Linked DNA regions of Mus musculus. The protein of the gene in region 1 binds, or shares a complex with, the protein of each later gene. Links are inferred from orthologs where the notes say so. Each region holds a gene or a part of one and is shown on either strand. Other genes may lie near its edges. The genes, in order: Pdpn and Clec1b.

Evidence for each region.
Region 2: the proteins of Pdpn (region 1) and Clec1b are in contact, whole or in part, in a crystal structure (PDB 3WSR), measured with the Homo sapiens proteins. The link is inferred for Mus musculus from reciprocal best matches to the Homo sapiens genes PDPN and CLEC1B. Residues at the interface, in NP_006465.4 of Homo sapiens: Ala46, Glu47, Asp48, Asp49, Val50; in NP_001380271.1 of Homo sapiens: Arg107, Phe116, Arg118, Arg152, Thr153, His154, Leu155, Arg157.

Annotation. Positions count from the first base shown.
Region 1 is NC_000070.6:143,296,719-143,301,138, reverse strand, and holds the start of Pdpn (podoplanin isoform 1 precursor), read left to right. Parts: upstream 1-1,574; 5' UTR 1,575-1,883; coding exon 1,884-1,950; intron 1,951-4,420. UniProt on the Homo sapiens protein: Mediates effects on cell migration and adhesion through its different partners.
Region 2 is NC_000072.6:129,395,944-129,400,212, forward strand, and holds the start of Clec1b (C-type lectin domain family 1 member B), read left to right. Parts: upstream 1-1,353; 5' UTR 1,354-1,671; coding exon 1,672-1,735; intron 1,736-4,116; coding exon 4,117-4,212; intron 4,213-4,269. UniProt on the Homo sapiens protein: C-type lectin-like receptor that functions as a platelet receptor for the lymphatic endothelial marker, PDPN.

The DNA.
Region 1 (4,420 bases):
CTAACGGACACAGCTTACCAACCATTCCTGTGATCAAGCTTTCCATGGACACTGGGTTTAGCTAGCATTTCCCCAAAAGGTCTTATCAGTTAGCTTGTGGGACCAAAGCTGGGAATATGAGCTTTTAAAACAGTGTTGTCTCAGGATAAAAAGACCTGCCTGGCAAGCTAGCAACCCGAGTTTGGTCTTTAGTACCCATGTGAATGAATGTAGGAGCGAGCTGGCTCCACAAAGCTACCCTCTGATATCACACACATACCATATCATGGGTGCCCACACCTTTGCACACATGCATGCATGCGTGAGTGCATGCGCACACACAATAAATAATTTTTAAAAATCAGTCTACTTTTGAAATTCTTGAGATGAAGTCTGTTTGAAACTGAGGTCAAAGATAAAAGGATGAAAACAGCTCATTGTCACCTTCATTGGGACACGTAGGGACCGTTCATTGTTAAGTTCTCTGTAACTTATTTTTACCGTGTGCATGCGCGAGTGTGTGTGTGTATGTGTGTGTGTGTGTGTGTGTGTGTGTGTGTGTGTGCTCGCTGTCTGGTCAGAGGGCAACATACAGGAATCAATCGGGACTCTCCTTTCACCATTGTGGGTTCAGAGCCTAAAACTTAAGTCACTCGGCTTGGTGGCCGAGCCACCTCTGGGGGGCCCATCCTCAGATGCTTTTGTTGAAAGGAATTTATGGCATCTGGGAGTGAAGCCAAGACCACCCCCGACCCTGTTCTTAGATTCCAACAGGTTAGAAGGGAATAATGAACATTTCTCTTGCCGATACCCACTCCCTGAGAGCAAGGAAGGATTGTTTAAATCAAGAGACAGGGGATTACCAGTTAAACCCTAGGATTAATAGATGAGCTGAACTCTTATTAGTTCCAGGTGAGTGGCCGATAGTCAGATGACACAGCTGCTCCTGGTATCCAGGTGAAGCCACAAAGTCCCGGTATCAGGGGGTGGTGGTACGTGCTCTGCCTTCTGTATAACTCACTAGGGCCAAGCACCCTTCAAGGTCAAGCACCCCACCCAGACAAGTACCTCACCGGGCCAAGTACTGCACTGAAGGCTAGTTGTGGGAGGACAGACGCGTCCTTCCGTCCGTCCGTCCATCCATCCATCCATCCATCCATCCATCCATCCATCCATCCATCCATCCATCCATCCACGTGCCTTGCATGAAGGTTCAATAAACAAGAGCCGCCTCAGACTCACCCAAACAACGGCCGTTTTCCCCAAACCATCTGAAGAAAAAAATCCAGTGCATCGGTCTAAAAACCATAAAACCAGCCGCATACGCCACTGTGTGCGTCTCTCTTCTGCCCACTATCAAGGAAACCTAAGTTGTGGGCTTTGCCCTCCAAAACATAATAGTAAATATAGTAGAAAAATAAATAAAAATTGTAAATCAGAACTGTTTACTGCACGTGGCCCCCTTTTCTCCTGTAGTGGAACAAAGTCAAAAGCTTTTTTTTTTTTTCCCCTCTGGGCTGGGCCCCAGTGGCTGAGGCCCTGTAACTTTAAACCTGGCCTGAGGTCATCTTGTGATGCTGGCCAAACAGAGTTCGGGGGCGGTCCTAGATCTCCGGGACCACCTGACGCCCACCCGCTCCCGCCCCGGGACCGGAGACATAAATGCCGACTGTGCCGAGAGGTTGCCAGCTGCCAAGTTTGCTGTGCTTGCTGCCTCTGCGAGTCCAGAAAGCCCGGGCACTCTCTGGCGCTGAGACTTTTGCTCAGCGCCTTCCAACCTCCTCCCGAGCTCTTCCCGGCTGGGCCTGTGGCTTCGAAGTTTTTTGTTTTGTTTTGTTTTGTTTTTCATCTTTTCACAACCCACAAAAAAACCCACTAGCTGCTGAGGCTCCAACGAGATCAAGATGTGGACCGTGCCAGTGTTGTTCTGGGTTTTGGGGAGCGTTTGGTTCTGGGACTCTGCGCAGGGAGGTAAGCGCCATGCATGATTGGCAACCAGCACTTGTTGGTGGGGATGGAGGGAGGCGGGGGATGCTTGGGCCTGGGATCTGCGAGTGCGGGGGGAGGGAGGGAGAGCGGTGGGGTAGCTTAGATGGGGCTAAGTCTCCTGTAACAGCCAAGTGGGTGTGGCGGTAGGGGGTCCACCCACAGGTGGTAGGGGTACAGAATGGCCCTAACAACCCCCACCGCCCCGGGGGCTAGTGTTACGGGATGGGAAGGTGACCAAGGGCGACTGGACTGGCCCAAAAAAGCAGTGTGTTAGAGGAATGATTAATGTCTCTGAAAAAGAGGAACAGATAGGAGGACGTAGGTTGGAACTCTGGGTCACACCCCTGGCTGGGGATAGACCTGAAGAGGCTTCGCTAATTAGGATGGTAGCTGGAAGGGACGGTGGAACAGCTTGACCCGCAAGCTGCTATCTTTCTAGCATTCTTGTCTCTGCCTCTTTCTTTCCTCCCCTCCCCACACCCCTACACTGGAAATGGATGGAACCCAGGGCGCCACGGACCTGTACCTCCTAACCTGGAGGGCTGCCGTGAGCGTTGAAGCGCAAGTGTGTTTGAGGCCATGTATTGAACTTGGCCAAGGACTCAGTGGCTGAATTAGTGTTAATTAAAGACGAATGGAGCCTGAGAATGTAGCTCAGTTGGCAGAGTCCATGTTTGGCATGTGAGACACTCTCATGCTCCATCCCCAGCAAGATGCAAAAGCCAGGATGGTGATGCTCAACTGTGTCAGCACTGGGAAATGGAGGCAGGAGGATGAGAGGGTTCAGGGTTATCTTGGGGTATAAGGAGTTTGAAACCAGACTGGGCTTTAAGACCCTGACTAGAAAGAAACAGATTGATGGGACCACCATCACGTCCTCCTCTTCTGAATTACTGTCTTCTGTCTGGGTGATCTATGGCTGGGGTCTAGGACAGTCTCCTGTTATTTTGTTTCTTGCTTTGATGTTTTAAGTTGTATCTATATTCCTGGTGGAATCTAAGCTCTAATCTTGATCCCAGAGCCAAGAAGTCATGGGACAGTCTCAGTTGCTCACTAAATGAAGGCTAGTGGTCATCAGAGATGTAGGACTGTCTTTCCTGGTGAAGGAGTGGTTTGTGTGAGATGGGTGGGCCTAGCCTAGGCTTCTATAATTCTCCACAGACAACACCTAGTGTTAGGGAAATTATATAGAGTGCATGGGCGAGGTTGTCCACTTGCTTCAAAGAGACGAAGCTATTCTTTATGGTGTTCAGGGGTATTCCTGGCAGTCCTATCTTTGAAACTTCTTACGCTAGGATATATATATATATATATATATATATATATATATATATACAGTTCTGTATTTCGGTTCCATTTCCGTCATGGCGAGACAGTGCGTGTTAAGAACATGGCTTTTCACTCACCAGCGCAAAGTGAGGGGAAGCACCCACCCCAAACCACATCCTAGGAAAGTCGGAGGCTGGCATCCTCCAAAGGCAAGGGTAGGCTGCAACTGTCTCAAGCCAGCTCCCAAAATGCTCCTAAAATGTAGCTGGTATTTGGTCTTGTCTAGAAAAAGTCATCACTCAGTTAGAGTAGAAACTGTACAGCTGAAGAAAAAGCCTTGGTACAGGGGTGTTCAGAGAGGTGGCCATGCGGCCAGTTGTATCCAGGCTGCTCTGCAGCAAGATTGAGCCTGCAGGGTTTTTGTTTGAGAATAATGAATATGGATGAGTTAACTCCATTGAGTTAAGCTATTACTGGGGAGCCAGATCAGGCAGGGGTGATTGTGGTGTGCTAATTCTATTAGAGTCATATGCCATACTGATTTAGGGTTATAACCCAACCCCCTCTGCAATCCCCAAGGTGTTCGTGGATTCTAACGAGGCCTGTTGTCCTCACATCTGGCAGCCTCCCCCACTGCCAGGCCCCACCCTCACTCTGAACTGACATCCAAAGCCGGTACCCCAGGACTCGCCCGTTAGCAGTGGCTTTTTATAAGATTCTCGGCAAGCTGCTGCTTGCCGCTAACCCATGTGTGCTCTTCCGGGACCAGTCCGAGCAGGATTAATCATGTGGCACAGAAATCATCCTGTGATTTCCCTGAAGTTCTTGCCAGTTTTCGGGGGCCCTGGAATCCTCGCAAGCTGCTGAGGGCTTATGTAGCTGAGGAGGCCTTGAATAAAGCTGATTCTGTTAGAGGTTCTGCGGGGGAAGCTGGGGCTTAGGGTCCCAAACTGAGTTCAGAAGAGGGAAACACATTTAAAGATGCGAGTGCAGCAGCAGAAGGCTGAGGGTAGCCACGATCAACAAGACAAAACTCAGCTCACCCACCATTGACTTTGCTGGCAATGGAGAGACCCAAGTCTCCGGTATGACAGAGAATGGCCCTGACTAGTGGGCGGGACACCACCTCCTTGCATTCCCCCCCCCTCCCCCCCCACCACCACCACCACATTCTAGGAATGTC
Region 2 (4,269 bases), on another chromosome or scaffold:
TTGAAATAAGACAGTAGGGGAAGAAAGCATGTTTGAACTCAGCTTGTGAGTAAAGGAAGCAAGGAAGGAAGAGGTCATCCCAGACTTTGCTGGAAGGCTGTTAGTTAGCATATCCCCCCTCTGCCAGGAAGATGGAGAATCTTTGGCTGAAGTGGAAGCTATGCAAATAGTAGCAGCAATTGGTGAATAGTCTGTTGGCTTCCTGAAATCATTGGAGGTGTGAGTGAAAGGCATTTCAAAATGCAGAATCCTTGTAGTGAGTTGACAAAATTCTGAGAGTGAAGTAAAGAGCACGGAGGAAAAGAAAGAAAGCCATGTAGAAGATACCAAAAAGAGCCGGGCAGTGGTGGCGAATGTGTTTAATCTCAGCACTTGGGAGGCAGAGGCAATCGGATTTCTGAGTTCGAGGCCAGCCTGGTCTACAGAGTGAGTTCCAGGACAGCCAGGGTTACACAGAGAAACCCTGTCTCAAAAAACCAAAAGAACAAGGGCAAGTAAACTCCTGGCAATAGGTCCTGGATGGTCTTCATGGTGAAATATGGAGACTGGATTCTCTTAACAAGGCAGAAGGGCTCTAGCCATAGAGATTTAGCAGAATTACATACTACAAAATTAAATAAATTCTAGGCTAATGACAAGACAGGCAGCAGTCAATATTCCTGCAATAACCACCCTGGCAAGCTCCATATGGTGCTCCTGTAGCTGCTGTCACGGTAAGCCAGTGTAATTATTTAAAGCCCATTTCTATAGAGCTAAATGATGGAGTATTTATGACACTGTGATTAAAAGGAAACCAGCATCCCCCCTCCTGCAAACAGTTCTGTCACTGCGCAAAACTGCACTCAAACTTAAAAGGTGCCGTTGCAATCTAGTTTTATTTAATCCAAGAACTCATTTTAAATATTATCTAAGAAACATATATTGTGATGAGTTTTGTATTTACTTGACTCTTTTTTCCTTCAGTGTCTAGGACTAAGCAATCTGAGGTCTGCTTCACTTGCAGCTCAATTTTTTTTTCTTCTTCTTCTTCTTCTTTTTTTTTTTTTTTTAAATAAAATGACTTATATTGGATGCAAGAATTTAAGTGAACTTTAGGTCATAAAAAGGAGAAGTGCGTTCTATTGTAGGGTTGTAGATGTGTAATTTCACACCGGATAATATAAATGATAAGATTAGACATTATTATATCGTTCTTTTCAAATGATATTAGATTTGAAGTCACAGTAGATGCTGTATTCCTACTGGTACCTTTATCCATGAGTTTTTTTTATAAGGCATCAGTTCAATTACGTGATGTATTTTGAGCTTTCCTAGGGTTAAGATGAAGCGTGAACTTTGTCATTTGACAGGATACTCCCTCAGGACGGAACATCCCTTCACTCAGAGCTGAAGATAAGAGAGCAGGAAACGAGCCCCGCATCTACTCTTTCACCACAAGTTATTATTATTTTTGTTTTTAGGTTCAAGCCCACGTATCTCTGAACATCCAAGAAAGGGCTTCCTGGAAAACAAGACAAAGCAAAACAAACCCCAAGTGTCCTGGTGCATATGGCCCCACACCACCGGGAGAGAAGGAGCCCACACTGGCAGGCACTGAGACTCTAAGGGTGGACATTGGGTGAGTTCTGCAGAGTCACTGAGCTCTGAGCTCTTTGCTGTTCAAGGGGAGCCATGCAGGATGAAGATGGGTATATCACTTTAAACATCAAGCCCCGGAAACAAGCTCTCAGCTCAGGTAAGAAGGCTCATTCAGCAATTTGGGCATTAGTGAAATAGGTCACTCCTATTCTCTGTCTCTCTCCCAGTGACAGGGTGCTTAAACTTATTTGTGTTTTCCTGAATGATATTCTTTTTCTGAAGCATGCAAGTGGGGCCTACAGAAGCTGCTGCAGACATAGTTAGAATACAGGCAGAAAATACAGAAGAGGGAACATTGTACTAAGGCTATTAGAATGCAATACTGGGGTGCTTAGAAGCTGGTAGAACAAAGCGAAGGACAGTTTGAAAACTCAAATGTCTTCACATTTTAAAGGAATACATTTGTTGCATGACTTAATTAGAAAACATGAGAGTTTTTTCTTTTAATGTTCTGGAGGGAAGCGTTTTATAATCTGAAGTCTTTCCTTTCTTTTCTGTTTAAAATGATATAAAGTCTTTGGTTCATAGTGTTGTTCAATATGTAAACATTTCATAAGTTAACATTTATGTAACATAAAAATAATTTTTTTGTCCTTTTAAAAACAACATCAAATTTCTGAACACCAGAAGACCCAGTTCTCCACCAGTTGCCTATGAAAGTAATTGTGGAGGAGAACAGGGGTGCTGAGGGCCATGTAAGAGGAATGACAAATGGCTTTAGAAGTCTTGGAATGTGGTCCAGCAGTTAGCACAGCCTCAATGGGTATGACCCAGAGAGGACTCCATGTCCTGAGGACTTCATGCTGTTATGGAGTTCTGCTCTGCTTGTTGCCCTTCACATCCCTATAAAAACTCTAAGGAGTCCAGCCCCTCACTGGACAGTATCTCTGGCTCTTATAAAATATGCTTGATCTCTTTCAGGTATTTCTGCTCCAGCAGATTAATGATTCAAACACCACCCTAGAAAAGAACTTAAGAGATGTAGATTATCAGCAATGACCACCATCCTTAGAAAACATTTGGAAAAATAAAATTGTTAGTGAATCTAGGTTAAGATGTTTCTGCTACTGCTTCTGATGTAAGAAACCTAAGGGAACAATTTGATGTTCAGAAAAGCACACTTTCATTAGCTAAGCTAAGGGCTTTTTAAGGTCAGGGAACAAGAACAATGGTAGCACTGAGTCTTACTAGTAATAATTGATTTCTTACACCCATTTTTGCCCTCAGCTTCCTAAGATGATTTTATTAAGTAGGTATGTATTCTGAGGGTTTAAAGTAGATATGACTGATTTTTTATATAAAAGTTTAATTTGTGATTCTTTTAAGATTCTTATAAGATTACTTGTAAAGATAAACAATAAAATAAAATAATTAATCTTATTTTTGTAACTGCAAACTGCTGCCTGCTAGTGAGAGAAACTACCTTGCTTGCTCACACTTTGTTAATCTATAACAAGTTGCTTGGTTACAAATGTACATGGGTTCTTGGGAACAATTTGTTTTCTTTGCCTATAATTAGCTACATAATGTTATTTCTTGTAAAGGTACAGGAGAACATATGTTTTTTCATAGTCATTCTCCAGAAGAAAACTAGAATGTCTGTCTGTCTGTCTGTCTGTCTTTGCATGTATGAAGTTACTGAAGTCTGTTTTTTATTTCATCCTCTCAGTGTACATGTATGTGTACATGTATGTATGCTTTTTCTTTCTTTTCCTTTCTTTCTCTCTGGCCCCAGGGATTAAAAGAGTTTAGAGTTTTTTGCTGGCCATGGGGAGAGCCAACCCCTTCTCTCTGTTCCCTCAGAGAGAAGTCTGCTGAGGAATTTCTCTAATCACTGGATGCCTTATATAGAAGTCTCTATCACTATCTGGACTGATCCCTGTCAGCAGCTTCCTGCCTCAGTTTACTCACCCATAGATGCCAAAGCTACTAATTGGCACAGGGATGCAAAAACAAAAACAAAACAAAACAAATCAAAAAACCCAAAACCAAAAAACCAAAACCAACAACAAAACAAAAAAACAGATACACGTGGCCTTGGTAGCCAGTTATATGTTAGAATGGACAGAGAATAAGTCATAGAGAGTGGCAATGGATGGGTGGTATAAATTAAGCCATTCTTATTGAGGATGGTCACTAATGGAATGCAGGTAAGATCAGAGTAGGTTCTTTCCTTCCACCCTGTATTCCAGGACTCAAATCCAGTTTATCAGGCTTATGTAGTTAGTGCTTTACCTGCTAAGCCATCTTAATAGCCAAAGTCTTACTGAGTTTTGATACAGTAACTCATAGAGCCTAGACTGGTACTGATTTTGCTACGTTGCCAAGGCTGCCCTTGAACTCTTGATTTTTCTGCCTCCATGTCCCAAGCTTTCTCACACATAGCTTACAATGCTGTTTATGATAGACTTAGGCAATCCTGAGAAGCCCAGGGTAGCCTGAAAGTCTTCTGTTTGCATCTTTTCTGTGCTCCCACAGCGGAACCTGCCTCTTCTTGGTGGCGTGTGATGGCTTTAGTTCTGCTGATCTCATCCATGGGGCTGGTTGTTGGACTCGTGGCTCTGGGGATCATGTGTAAGTACTGGCTCCTTGCCAGGGTTTTGACCTGAGGGAAGCAACAGCCACGAGGCG